Tamandua tetradactyla: one gene and its partner. The protein of the gene in region 2 interacts with the protein of the main gene of each other region in a biochemical or structural test. Links are inferred from orthologs where the notes say so. Each region holds a gene or a part of one and is shown on either strand. Other genes may lie near its edges.

The links.
Region 1: the proteins of PLAU (region 2) and SERPINA5 form a complex in vitro, tested with the Homo sapiens proteins (2 studies listed by BioGRID). The link is inferred for Tamandua tetradactyla from reciprocal best matches to the Homo sapiens genes PLAU and SERPINA5.

What each region holds. Positions count from the first base shown.
Region 1 is NC_135338.1:55,677,297-55,684,781, forward strand, and holds the start of SERPINA5 (plasma serine protease inhibitor), read left to right. Parts: upstream 1-4,472; 5' UTR 4,473-4,605; intron 4,606-7,485. UniProt on the Homo sapiens protein: Heparin-dependent serine protease inhibitor acting in body fluids and secretions. Inactivates serine proteases by binding irreversibly to their serine activation site. Involved in the regulation of intravascular and extravascular proteolytic activities.
Region 2 is NC_135339.1:22,748,961-22,755,990, forward strand, and holds the start of PLAU (urokinase-type plasminogen activator), read right to left. Parts: upstream 3,008-7,030; 5' UTR 2,922-3,007; intron 2,632-2,921; 5' UTR 2,601-2,631; coding exon 2,544-2,600; intron 2,093-2,543; coding exon 2,059-2,092; intron 1,911-2,058; coding exon 1,803-1,910; intron 1,463-1,802; coding exon 1,288-1,462; intron 1,095-1,287; coding exon 1,003-1,094; intron 828-1,002; coding exon 608-827; intron 394-607; coding exon 248-393; intron 1-247. UniProt on the Homo sapiens protein: Specifically cleaves the zymogen plasminogen to form the active enzyme plasmin.

The DNA of each region.
Region 1 (7,485 bases), on a different chromosome or scaffold from region 2:
CAAAACAAGATTCTCCCAACCACCTCCAAGGCCAGGATGAGCCCCAGGTCCAGTGCTGGGGAGTCCACTGCTGGAGTAACAGAGGATGTGGAAGCTGAGGGCCAAGCAGAACATTCGTGCTAACCAAAGTAAGACACCAAAGGGGCCAACATTTATTTTTCAGCCCTTCTTCCAAAGACTATTTCCCCATTTTGAGACTTCCCATCCCTCAGCAGTTTTTTGGAGACCAAATTCCCATATTCTGGCCGCTGGCAGATCCTATCCTACCATCCCAGAGTACCATGATCTGACACCTTCTGCAAACCTCCACCTTAAAACTTATGCATCTCCAGATATGGTTCTTACAGAGCCCTTTCAGAAAAGCAATGAGAGGTCATGGGTACCACGGCTGTTCTTTAAAATATAAACTTGGGAAATAATGCCTGTGATATCTTGTCTCTCTTGAACAATCACAGCATATACACCACAAATAACATAGGCAGTATTACAAAGACTCAAAGTAATGGGTTAATCTCATCTTTCCAAAAGTTATTTCATCTCAAACTGACTTGGGAGTGTGTATTTCCTATAGCTGCTATAGTACATTTCACCAATTTAGGGGAGTAAAACAATGCAAATTTATTCTCTTTCAGTTCTGGAAGCCAGCAGTCTAAAACAGGTTTACTGAATCTGAAACCAAGGTGTCAACAGGTCTGTGTTTGTCCTAGGGAACCAAGGGGAGAATTTGTTTCCTTGCCTTCTCCAGCTTCTAGAGGCCACCTGCATTCCTTGGCTTGTGGTCCCATATCATACTTATCTTTTCCCCTGCTGCTTCTACTGCAACATAGCCTCTTCTTCCTTTGACTTTCTTGACTCCCTTCAGGAAGAACCCTTATAATTACACTTAGGACCCACTCAGATAACCCAGTATAATCTTTGCATCTCAAGATTCTTAACTTAATCACATTTGCAAAGTCTCTTTTGTCATATAAAGTACATTCACAGGTTCCAGAACTTAAGGGATTGTTCTAGTTTGCTATCTGCTGGAATGTGATATACCAGAAATAAAATGGTTTTTAAAGGGAGAAATTTATTAAGTTGCAGGTTTACAGTTCTAAAGCCATGAAAATGTCCAAATTAAAGCAAGGCTATAAAAATGTCCAAATTAGGGCATCAAAAATAGGTAACCTTCACTCAAGAAAGGCCTAGAAAGTTCAGGGCTTCTTTCTCAACTGTAACATTCCCAAAAACCTTGTGGGCTTCTCATGCATGCTGTGGAGATCCATGAGATTAGACAAGGGATCCTCCACAGATCTTTCCTGGATAATGCCACCGCTATTTTTGGTTTCTGTTGAGTTGTTTGAGATGATCTATGAGTCATAGCCTAGTTACAGAGCCCTCTGTGGGAATTGCTTACTCTGATCTTTTGATCCTGCATAGGCGCTATGCAAAATGTTGTCCATCCACACACTCGGCTTTCTCTGCAGAGCACGCTTTCCTGACAGTGAATCTCCTAATTTTCGTATTTTTTGCAATCTGCATAGGCTGATAATTTCCCAAGTCATCCAGATCTGATTCCTTTTTGCTTAACAATTCTTCCCTCAATTTGTCTCTTTCCTCTCACATTTTACTAGAAGCAGCAAGAGGAAACTAGGATGCACCTTCAGTGCTTTGCTTGCAGATCTGCTCAGTTAAATATCCAAGTTCATGCCTCACACATTCCGCTTCCCCCATAACTATAGAATACAATTCAGCTAAGCTTTCTGCCACTATATGACAGGATCCCCCATCTTCCAGTTTTAATAATGTATTCCTTATTTCCTTCTGAGCCCTCCTCATCAGACCTTCTAATGTTCATTTTTCTATCAACAATCTGTAATGACAATTTTGTTATTCTTTTAAGATGATATCATGACCTTAAAAGATATCATGATCTCTTCCATGACCCTCACTCCTTCTGATCCCTAAAGAACAGCACCTGTAAAATATTTCTACCAACAGTCTATTAAGGATTATTTAGTTACTTTCTAAAATGACATAGATTTCTTCTACCTTGCTTCTCACTTCCTTCTGAGTCTCCACTCACAGAAATTTTAACGTCCATATTTCTAGCCTCAATATTCTTTAAGCCTCTATCCATTACCCAATTCCAAAGCCACTTCCACATTTGTAGGTATTTCCTACAGCAACAGCTGGCTTCTGATCTTAAAATCTGTATCAGTTTCTAATAGCTGCTACATAAGCTACTGTGGGTTTAGTGGCTTAATTTATTTTCCCGTAATTCTGGAGGTCAAAAGTTGAGAAGCATTCCACTGACTGAAATGAAGGCATTGGCAGGGCTATGTTCTTTCTGGAGGCTATAAGGGACAACCTGGCCCTCATTTTGCTAGCTTCTAGAGGCTGCCAGCATTCTTTGGCTAATAACCTCATTATATCACCTTTTCTCCCTTACCTTCTGTCATTACATCACTTTCTCCTGACTCTGATCTTCCATCCCTCTCTTACAAGGATCCTTGTAATTACATTTAGGACCCACCTTGATAAACCAGGATTATCTTCATAGTTCTAGACCCTTAATTTATTCACATCGTTATCATCTCTTTTGTCATATAAGGTAACATTCACAGATTTTGGGCTTTAGGAAGTGGATCTCTTTGGGAGGCCATTATACAGCTTATGACAAGTGTGAAACAACAATTTCCATCCTATAGGACATTGTGATGGTTAAGCGTATGTGTCAACATGGCTAGTTATGGTGTCTAGTTGTTTGGTCAAGTGAGCAGCAGCCAGATTATTACTGTGATGACATTTCATGGACTTAAATCATGGGTCAGTTGATTGCATTTATGGCTCATTACTTGTACAATCAACAAAGGTGATTGCCTTCAGGAACGTGAGAAATCTCAACCAAGCAGCTGAAGTCTCAAGAGAGAACTGATGATTTCTGCAGTCAGAATGAAGAATTTCTATGTCAACTTCAACTACCAGATTCTTCTGGAGAATTTTTTAAAACCTTCGTTGGAGTTTCCAATTGCCTGCCCTATGGAATTTGGACTTGTCAATCCCAACAGTCACTTGAGGCGACTCCTATAATAAATCTTATAATATTTACATAATATATATCTATAATAACTTCTTGTCAGTTCTGTTTCCTGTAGGACTCTGACTAATGCAAACATTGATTAGGAACCTCTATTTAATAAGATAAAGGACTGTTTGTTAAAAGAGTCCTTTGTTGGAAAGTGAAAAACCTAGACATTGATGTGTGACACTAATGTGTGACTTTAGGCATATTCCCTAACCTCTCTCTGTTTCAATTAATTCAATGAGGATGATAATTGTATCTACCTCCCAGTACTTTGAGAGGACACTGAGTGCAAAATAAGGACCCACTGTTTAAGAATGACTGTGTTTGTCTCTAAATTGAAGCTGAGCTCAGTGCCTCCTTGTAGGCTTGTTGCATGGACTAAAAGAGATAATGTATATAAAGCATTTAGCTTAATGTGTATTCCATCTTAGGGTCTCAATAAATATGATTCTTATCATTCCTGGGAAAATTCAAAGATTCCCTAAACCAGACCCAAAAATTATGTAGAAGAAAAGGAACAGACCCAAAAATTACGTAGAAGGAAAGGAACAGTGATTGTGGAGTGACCTGGTTTGCTGGACATCAAGATTGCTTCCTCTGGGTAATACTGCTTTTTCCCCTTGCCATTTTCACATCCCAGCAGCACCCACACAGGTTTCCTGGATCATGGCCCCAGACAGTGCACAAAGGCGGTAGGAAGTTCTAGGCATGGGACCTCTGGAAATATAAGAAAGATTTGCGCCAATATCCTGCACTAATGTCTTGGAAATACTCCCCGAAGTATAAGGCCGATTTAGGAATCCTCAAGTGCAAGATGAAAAATGACAGTCCAACCGAACCCAAAGAAATCCCAGATTCAGTCCTTTTCTAAGTAAAGAGCAGTGTCAGAGTCACCGACCCTGGCATTAATCATCACCCAGCCCCACCCTTGGTATATGACTTTCAAAAGTCCCTTCATCTTCTGAGTCTCAATTCCATTGTGGAACAAGGAAATGATGCAATGATCACTTCAATTCAGCCATTCTGAGGCTCTCTCAATCCATTTAATTTAGACCAAAATCTGACTGTTATGGTCTGGGAGTCCAGGAAGCACAGGAAACCTGCAGCCAGCTTGGGCTCAAGCCCCCACTCCACTGGATCTACAACAAATCAGCTACAGGGAGCGAAAGAATGGAACCTAGTGAAAGTGAGAGTTTGCCGGATGGTGTCCCTTTCTTTGACTCTGGAATGCCAGCAATTGGTAGCTTTTTAAGCCATGTGTCCCGGGAGGGCCCTTGCCATTGCAGGCAAACAGTGTCCAGTGTGGGGATTGCAGAGCTGTGAGCCACTGGCCTGGGCGGCCTTGTCCAGCTCTTTCCTCTTGGCTGGAGGCCTGAAAGGGCTCACCAGGGCAGGCCAAGGCGGGGCCAGGGGAGGGGTGGAGCAGAGCCTGCCGCCATCAGCCACAAATACTAGCTCTAGCCTGCCAGCCCTCTGCTCTTGACCCAGCCTGCCGGACCGCTGCCTCGATTGCCTGCCACGCCTTGCCACGGGACACCGTAAGTACAGACACGTGGAGTGCAGAAAAGAGGTTTTATGGGCTTGAAAAACATGCATGGAAGGGTAAGGAAAGGACCCTAGAATTATGGGATTTGGAAGTATCCAAGGGTGAAGAAAGCCAGAGTGGGAAGAGCCCTCTGTTATGGTGGGGATCGAGCCCAACTTCCAGGCAGCAGAGGTGGACACCCACTAGCTGTGTGATCTTGGACACGATACTAAAACTGGGTGAGGCTCAGTTTTCTCAGCAGTAAGATGGAAATAATTATCCCCTGTGCATGGTGTGACCTGAAGACTAAATAAGGCAAGTCGTCCTCACCTGGACTGGTGTTACCCTCAGGGAACATTTGGCATGTCTGGAAACAATTTTTGGTTGTCACAACTGGGGGTTGGGGGGCTTACTGCCGGCATCCAGCAGGTGGGGGCTGGGAGAGGCTGCTCAAAGGACCCTCCAGCGCACAGGACAGCGCCCACTACAGAGAATGATCTGGCTCAAAATGTCAACAGTGCTGAGGTTGAGAAACCTTGAGATAAGGTCGTGGGGACAAAATATCTGGCAGACTGGAGGTGCTCAATAATGACAACTTCCATTGGTTTTTGTGCCTGGGGTTCTCAACCCTTAGAAGTCAGGGATAATTGTGAAACTTAATCTGCTGCCCTGAGATAAGACCACGCAGCTCTGTCCTGGAGGCTGCCCCTCAGCAGGGTTGCAGTGGCTCCTCAGGGGCTCAGGATGCTGTCAGGACGTTTGCTAAATAAACAAAACTTAGACATAAATCATTGGAGTTTTCACTTTTTTTTTTTTTTTACTCTAGAGCCCTTGGCAAGCAATGACACAATAAAAGGAGACCCCTTCTCTCCCCCTGACCCCCACTAGGGGACCAGCATCCTCATGTGCAGTACAGGAATTCAGAGTTGGCTTCAGGGAGGGATTACTCGAAATCCCTGGAAATTGAACCCCTGGGCCAGGGAGACGCCCTACGGGAGCCTAGCCTGGTTCTGCTGCCCTCCGTAGTGCCCAATGAGTGGTCTCACACCAAGGAGTTACAGAGTCAGGGACTGGGTTTCATTCACTCACTCACCCACGCATTTGTTCATTCATTCCACAAGGCTATACAGAGCACGTTTCCTAGACTGAGGAAGGCTCAGGGCTCAGAGCAGCACAGACAAGGGCCCTCCCTGCAGTGACCACATATTCTAGTCAGGGAAGGGCCCAGAGAAAATGAAGCCAAGCAGACCCCCAGGGATGAGCCTGGCCCTGGCACTGCGGGATCAACAATGCCTTCCTGACCAAAAGGGCGAGGAGAAGTATAACAAAATAAGGTATCAGTGGGTGAGAATGTTCAAAAAGAGTCGAGATGCTATTCTGGAGGCTATTCTTACTCAAGCTTCAGCTAAATATTGCTATTTATCATGGTTTGTCAAATCCCAATCAATACCATTCCTGCCAATCTTAAAGAGCACCTTTGTAGAACATCTGAGAGTCTACAAAGTTTCCATGCACTATGATTACTTTCCAGAAAACAACTTCCAGATGTTTCCTAGGCCAGATAAGTCCTGAAACCCAGAGGGGCCAGCCTCTCCAGAACATCAACTAGTTCCATCCCCCTATCCCATATTATCAAAAAAAAGTTAGAATAGGCATAACCCCAATACTCCTAAAGGTTGGGAGAAAGATCAAAGGAGAGGGTGGAATTATAACAGAGAAGATAGGATTTAACAAAAGAGTATGACTGCTGAATCATTATATTGATGTTTCTTTTAGTCTCCAGTGTCTTGGAGCAGCCAGAAGGAAAAACTTAAAATTGTGGAATTGTAACCCATACCAAACTTTGAAATCTGTTCTATAACTAATTGTTGTGGTGTGCTTTGAAATTTATACCTTTTTTGTTTATATGTTATTTTTCACAATAAAAAAAGGAAGCCAAGCAGTGCATATGTAACTGCATAGTTCTAAGTGATGGAACTATGGGAGAAACACTGAAGGGCTGGGGTGGAGAATAACAGTGGAGGGAAGGGAGTCAAACTAGCTTTGACAGGGCATCACAGAGAAGTATTTAAGCAGAGACCTGAAGCCTCTATTGTGAATCTGGCCATGGTCAGAGATTTCCTGTAGAGAGAATGGGATGTGTAAAGGCCCAGGGGCAGGATAGAGAATGCTTAAGGAATTGAGAAAAGATAAAGTGGGCCTAGGCAGAGTGAGTAGGGGGAAGCAGGTGGAGGTGAGGCTGGCAAGAGCCAGGTAGAACCAGGTCACATAGGGGCTAGCATATTTTAACACAAGGCAAATTTCCTTTTATGTGAAAACCTTGGGGTAGCAATGGTGTTCGTAAGTAACCTGTGCTCTGAGCAGGTTCATGTTCAAAGGAGATCCCTTGAAATGCTGTTTGCAGAATTGCTTGCTGGGGCAAGAGGGCAAGCTACTGTGGTGGTTCAGGTAAAAGATGAAGAGAATTTCTTTAGGATGATGACAGGGAACATGGAAAGAGCCAAGCAGATTTAAGACATATTTTAGAGATGGAAATTGACAAGCCTTGTTGATGGGCTGGAAATGGAGAAAGAGGGTAAGAAAGTTTCCCAAGGTCACTTTTTCCACAAAGCTCTGTTTCTGGGTCTCTAGAATCCAGTGGAAAGTAAAACTTTGTCATTCCCTCTCTGCCTGGGCTGCAAGTCCTACACCCCATATTGTAATCGGCAGATATTGGACAGGCCGTCCTCAGCTACACACGTCCCACCATTGAGTCCAAAGTGGGACTTTGTTGTCAGACCTTTGTAATAAAAGCCTACAGATCTGAGTGCATGGATGATGGGGAATCAGCGGGAAAACATGCCCACCCCTTCCCCCCTACCCCACCCTCCACCCCATCTCCTGCCACACATCA
Region 2 (7,030 bases):
AGTCCAAGCCATATGCCTGTGGGGCCACTTCCACTCAGAGGTGCCTATCAGTTGGGGAAATTCAGGAACTGGACAGAAGAGCACCTGGTCCCTCATATTCTTTTACTCTGAACCCTTCTCCGCCATCCCTTTGTTGGGTAAAGCAGAGTCTTCAAGTCCTCCCAAAACCTCAACTTCCCACTTGGGTCTCCCCCTGGACCCCGCTTTCTCTAGCCATCATCACATCGGTTGAGGGTTTCCCACGCACCGATATCATTGTGATGAGCAAGTGTCTCAGCACTGTAGTCTTCATGCAAGATGACCTCTTCCACTTCAAACTTCATCTCCCCAGGCGTGTTGGAATTAAGCATCGATTGACCCAGGTAGACAATGTAGTCCTTTTTTAGGTCATTGCTGTAGGAGGTGAGATATGTCAGACGTTCTGATCATGGAAGAGACCCTGTCACTTCTCCCTTCCCATCACAGCAGTTTCAGAATGTGACTTGTCCCTGCGGCCCATGGGCTGAGGTGAGAGAATGGAAGTAGAATCCTTGGCTGGGAAGGAGAAAGGGATCTATGCATTTGGGGTGGGGCAGGGGTATCACCAAGAAGAGGCTGAGGGACATACATGAAGCAGTGTGCGGCACTGACGACCCAGCAAGGACTGATGAGGCTGCCGCCGCACAAGTAGGTAGTGGAGCCTCCCCGGTGCCTCTTATGGATGGCTGCAAACCAGGGCTGGTTCTCGATGGTGGTGAACTCTCCCCCGACAATCTTAAAGCGGGGCCGTACAGCCTTCTGGCCACACTGAAATTCTGGTTTTGCTGGAGAAGGGGAGGGTTTTTTACCTGGAGGAAAAGAGATGCACGTCTTGGGAAGGCAGATAGGGTCAAGTGTCCCCTCTCTGACCTCCCAGTTCTGCAGGGCCAGGGAGGCCTCCCCGCTCATCCCTCCTCTGATGGAACAAGGGGACATGCAGAGACTTTGCCCACCCTTGGTCATAAACAAGTCAGTGACACTCACCAGGAGAGCAGTCATTCACCATGCACTCTTGGACGAGCTGCTTTAGGCCGACCTGCACGTAGCACCAGGGCCGCCTCTGATGGTTGGGGTTCCTGGCAACAGAGAGAGGTGGGGGGCATCATTCCAGTCCAGAATGCCTTTCCTGTGTCCTCCCCTCCAGGGAAATTCCAGCCAGAGGTCTTGCTTTTCTGGGGCTATGGCTAGCATTCTGGGGCAGAGGGGTCAGTAACAAGGGTTTCTGTGAGGCCATGGAGAAGGCTCCTGGTCCTTGCTGTCCCAGCTCACCTGCAGTAATTATGTTTCCCCAGGCCCAGGTGAACAGCGTCAGGTCTGTGGGCATGGTATGTTTTCAGAAGGACACTGGCAGAGTTCCAGGCCAGGCAAGGCCGGCCCATAATGTCGACATTGTCCTTCCCTCGGTAAGTGTGACCATTCCCCTGATAGCAGGTTTGCGATGCATCTGTGGAAGGATATAAGGATGAGAGAATATTAGAGAGAGGAGAAAGTCCAGATGGTCATATTAGAGATCGTGCAGAGCCTCAGGTGGTTACTGATTTAGCAGAAAACAGTGGAAAGGGTCTCCCCTTCCAGCCCCATCTCGCGTATGCAGCCACTGTTTCATGAGACGGTGTGTATGTGTGTGTTCAGGTTTGGCCATGTATATTACAAAAGGATGAAGATGCCCCATCTCACCTCCCCTCCAGCCCCTCACTACTGCCTGCTCTTGCATCCCACCATCTCCTCCTACCCTGAAATGTGTGCTGCCCCCATCTCCCCACTTAGTGTCGGGATCCCCATACCTATCTCGCAGTGTTCCCCTTGGAATTTCTTTGGGCAGTTGCATCGCTGAATGTTGGAGAAGTACTTGTAGGACACACATGTTCCTCCGTTCTGACAGCCACAGTTCACTGGAGAGCACAAAGGTGAGGTCAGCCAAGGACATGGAAGGAGGCATAGGGGGAGCCAGCCCTGCAGCCAGGATAGGGAAGGGCTGCCCCCTGAGGCTCTTCTAAGATGTCTGTGCCGCCAAATACTGTACAAGGGGTGGGTACTTACATGCACCAGATGCTCGACGCAGTTCTTGGCTGCCCTGGAAGATATGAGGGGAGGGGAGCAAGGGTCAGCAAACTCTCCATACACCTGGAACTCCAGTCCCCAAATCCATTCTCCCCTTAGGCTCCCTCTTTCCTCAGCCTGTCCTTATTTAACTTGCCCTCAAAGGGAAGCTCATGGGTTTCCAGTAGAGAAATAGAGCAACTCAATCCAGCATCATACATCAGGGGCTGGCAGGCTGTAGTGTAGCAGCCCTGAGGCTTATTTCTCCCTTGTGGGCAAGTGCACTCCCCCTTGGTTCCATCTCTCTAGAGGTCCCCACTGCCACACCTGTCCTATTTTCCGGAGGTGTGGCCCTGCCACTGAAAGAATCCTAACTTAAGTTTCCTTTGCAGCCCCTTCCTTCCCCTGAAGCTGTTATGGGATCCCCTGAACAAGCAAGTCCCCTCCCACCACCAGCGCTCAAAGCAAGCAGAGGAGTCACTCACTTCGGAGTCGCTCATAACAGGGGCGCAGAGGAGTAGGCACGCCAGCAGGACCCTCATGGTGGCAAGCTTGGGGCTCTAAACTGCGTCTCTGCAAGGGAAGGAGAAGTAAGGGGAAGAAGTGGCAGAGGGAGAAAGTGGGCTTTTGGCAGGAGAGGAACCCTAAGATCCCGCGGTAACCAGGCTCCCCAGGCCCGCGGTCTCCGGGGACTCCGGGCTCCCGGTGCGGCAGCCCGGACCCGCACCCGCAGCCGGACGCGGGGGCACGCGGAGCGCGGGGACTGCTGGCAGCCACGGGACCCGCCCGGCAGCCGGGTGTTGGGGTGGAAGGGAGGCGCGCAGAGCCGGAATCGGCTGCATCCCAGGGCGGTCTGCACTCACCGATGGCAGCGACCGGAGGGACGCGGGGCCGGGAAGGCTGGGGAGAGGTTGACACTCTGCCGAGTTCCGGGGCTCCGGGTGTCGGCACTGTGCTGTGGGCCCCGCGCGCGGGCCCTATATTAGAACCCGCCTCGGCTGGCCCCGCCCCCTCCGGAATCGCCCGCCCCCTCCCTGCCCTCCGCTCCCCTGGGGCGCGCCCCGGCTTGGACCCCGCGTGCTTCCGCATTTTTTTTTTTTTTTTAACATCCATAATTTCGAGATAGCATGGTCTTTATTTACACCATTTTACTTGTAGCCGAAGTTCTGAACAGTTTCGTGCAAACATTTAAAAACCTGGCAAATGAATCATAAAACCTGATGTGGGCTCTTATGTTTCTTCGGAATAAAATTGCACATCTTAAGAAGATGCAGTTTATTATATTAGTTTTCCTGCTTTAAAATGCTTGTCACCTAGGAAAGTAGCTGGAAAACAAGAGCATCTGCAGAAGTGCTCCGGCAATGGTGACCGAGAGTGGAAGCAGCGCGCTCCCTCGGGCGTGGGTACCAGCGAGGTCTGCACGGACGGATCGAGAGGCATCTACAGGCGTCGCCCCCTCCTCCCGTTCCGCTGGCTCTAGGGGCAGAGGGGCCGGAGTTGAGAGAAGGAGAGGCGATCTCCGGAGACTTCCTTCCCCCAGCCCAGCTCCAGCGCCTGTTCCCGGGTCCCCTAAATCAGCGCTTCTCCAACCTTTCCACCCTCCCGCCCTCAACGCCTCAGAGAAGCCCTTAGTGTCTCCGGGGTTTGGGGACTCCGCCTGTGGCTCACACCAGTGGCTTCAGGCCCACACTGTTGATGCACTCTGTTGCAGAGCTGATTTTTTTTTAAGGAAGTTCCTATTAGGGATCAATTTATTTGCTGGGCCAGAGTCTCCTGGCAGAAAAAACTGGTTCATAAAGACGATGGCATTGTAAAGTCTTATTAACATAGTCAGTAGGAAGTTTCCAGCCCCTCCTCTGGGGGAACTGGAGAACGAGGAAGAGAGGAAGATTTATTTTTCACTGTCTGCCCTGGGCCAACATCTTACCCTTTTTAAGTTCTTTAAAACCCACTCTCTGTATCACCGATTCCAAAAAGATAAACAGAATTTTATATATATATATATAGTATTCTGTCTTCATAGAGCCTTGTTTTTATTAACATGAAAATAATTGCTTATCAAACAAAATGGGCTTCCATAAAGATGGACCCGCCCTTCCTGCCCACACACGCCTGCACACACACACACCCATGCACACATCCCTCCTGCACACACACACACCCATGCACACATCCCTCTGGCACAGCTGGAGGAGCGCAGCAGGGTCTCCGGTCCAGGCATCCACCCCATTCCTTTACCCTAGTGTCAGGACCCTGGGCTTGAGGTCACTGCAAAACCATCCAGCAGGACTGATTCCCTTCATGGGATGGGAGAGGACAGAGTGCCTGCAACTCACCAGGGGCCAAAGGCTTGTTCCCTCTTTCTTTCTTTCTTTCTTTTCTTTTCCTAAGAATTTTGATTGTTGAATTTTGATTTACTTAAGCCCATTTCTATGCAGAAATGAAATGGTTAGCTCCGTGGGAAAAATTCTTGGTCAAGGCCTCTACATTTTTTTCAATTTTTTTTTTTAAGTACAAAAACTTTCAAACATGCAGCGACGTTTAAAGAATTTTACAGTGTGCAATCATATGTTGCACCCTCTTTCTGCTTAGGCTTGCAATGTTTTGCTCCCTGGCAAACCTGGGGTTGGAGTCTGGATCCACGTGAGAGGGGCAAAAGGAGGGTGGGGAGATAGTTGGGAGGGCAGGAAGGAGGAAGGCCAGTTTGATCCACCCCTACCAGAGGTCTCTGAGACCCGGGTTGCTCAGGATGCCTGCCCCTGGGGGGGGGGGGGGGGGGGAGTGCAAGTTAACCATTCTGTTTTCAGGAGCAGCTGACCTCCGGAGAGAGTTCTTTTGTGCTGGGCTGAGCCACCAGGTACCCAGCAATGGACTGAGTCAAAAGGGCCTTAGAGTCAGGCTCCCTACTTCCTCTAAAACACTGTGGCAGGTTTTGTTTGCTTTTAAGAACCACGCTAATTGTAAATAAACGTGATAAAAATGTTAACAGATATGTTACAGCCTGAGAACTTACCCCGAAACTCCTAGGTTAGTTATCAGGAAATTCCCAGAAGCCTGTCGTGATTCACGCTACTCCAGTAGCTCTCATGACTCCAGATTACTTGGCTGGAGGCTGTCATGCTGATTCGCAGAGCACGATGACCTCATTTCCTCTTGGACGAAGAGGGTTGGAGACCGTTATGCACCATGATGCCCCCTTCCCCCTCTTTCTCCCCTGTTGTCTCTTTACCTGGTTGAACAATCCTAATGCCTCCAAGATTTTACAGAACTGCTTTTTTCAATCTCTGAGCTCTCCGTGGCCATCTTTTGGTACACAGTCAGTGTTAGATTTTCATTCTTTGAGGGCAAAGATCATATCTTAAATGGCTTTGTCTCTTCCTCAGCACTTGGTACCTGCTTTGTTCACACAGATGCTTTGATATGAATGAATCAGTGAATGAATGGGTACAGAGTACACTGAGGTGCCCTGAAGGGAAGGAAGATTTCCTCCATTCTTCTTTCCTTCCCATAAAGAATAATACCTCAGGATAGTTTAGGATGTAGGCTGAGATTATCATGCCCATCTTGCAGATGGGGAAGATGAGGTGGAGAAAAGATATGTAACAGATCAATTGTGGAGCAAGTACTAGAACCCAGCTATTCTGATTCTTGTTCCTGAGCCCTATACCTCCCTGCATCCATAAAGAGAGGGATACAAGACAGAAGGCTATGAAGAGAAAGGCCTGGTATGAAAGACATTCTAGCTTAGGGAGCCCTCCTGCCCAGCTTTGGAGACCTCCTTCCAGGAACACTGCTTGAGCTACGGGTCCCGAATTTCTGTGAGGCCCTTGCTGTACTATGAGTTCGTTACTAGCATGACCAAGAACTGTCTTGGTGGTTTAGGCTCTCTGAAGTTTCTGTGGAGGGTGAGAGAAGAGAGAACTGGATATGTGATGTCATTCTGTTCCTGACTCCAGGAGAAACCCACCAGCCCCCTGGCCCCTGTGTCTCAGGGAATCCAAACCTTTTGAGTCAGATGTGGCAATGGAGATTGACAGAGGGGCCCTCTTTCCAGGAACTTCTCTTTAAAAAGCAGGCACATACCAGATGTATAAGGAGGACCAGGTATCTGGACCTGACCTTGATACTGTGTCCAAGAAACTGGGGTCCCTGAAGGGCTATATACTCTGATCAGCAGGAACCAAAGGGAACTTAACACCTGGTCACAGTGTGTATTCCTGGGTTGCTCTATTACTGTTCAGCATGGTACTGTAAAAAGACCATAATGTCTGACCTCAGCTCTGCCACATATAGTTTGTATGTCCTTTAGGCAAGTCACTTAACTCTCTTGAGCTCAGTTCCCCTGCAAAATGAGGCAACCTTACAGACTGGATGAAATCATGCCGTGTGTGAAAGCATTCATTCTTTCCTTTATTCATTTTATTCAGTATTTATCATGGGCCTACCAGGCACAGTTCCTGACTCTAGAGCTAGAAGATGAGCTTTATAAATTATAACTCCTACCCCTAGTGCCTGCCTTTGCTTCCCAGCAGTGGCTATATTGGCCCTGAAGACCAGGTCATTCTGAGTCCATCCCAGGATTCCAGTCAAGTGGGGATGCTATGTCCTTGGCTGGCCGTTCCCAGCAGCTGGGTAGCTGAGACATACATCTGCATGTGCTGCTCACACCCACAGTCCTGACTACCGTTCCTTCCCTTCCTCTTCTTTGGCTCATGTGTGGCCTGAAACTCTTCTTTTCCTCCTATACACAGGGCAGAAAGACTCCTCAGCAGTTCTCGATAGGGGACCCTGAGGGCTGGTTACACAATTTCCTTGAGTCTGAGGACTCCCTTCTCCCCACATGTTTACTGCCAAAGGTCAAGATGGCTGGGCAGTGGCGGGCAGTGGCCAGTACTAAAAGCCATTTCTCAGGCCTATAACATGATAGATTTGATGATGGAGCTGGTAGGTCCCCAGTGGCCTGTGGAAAGGG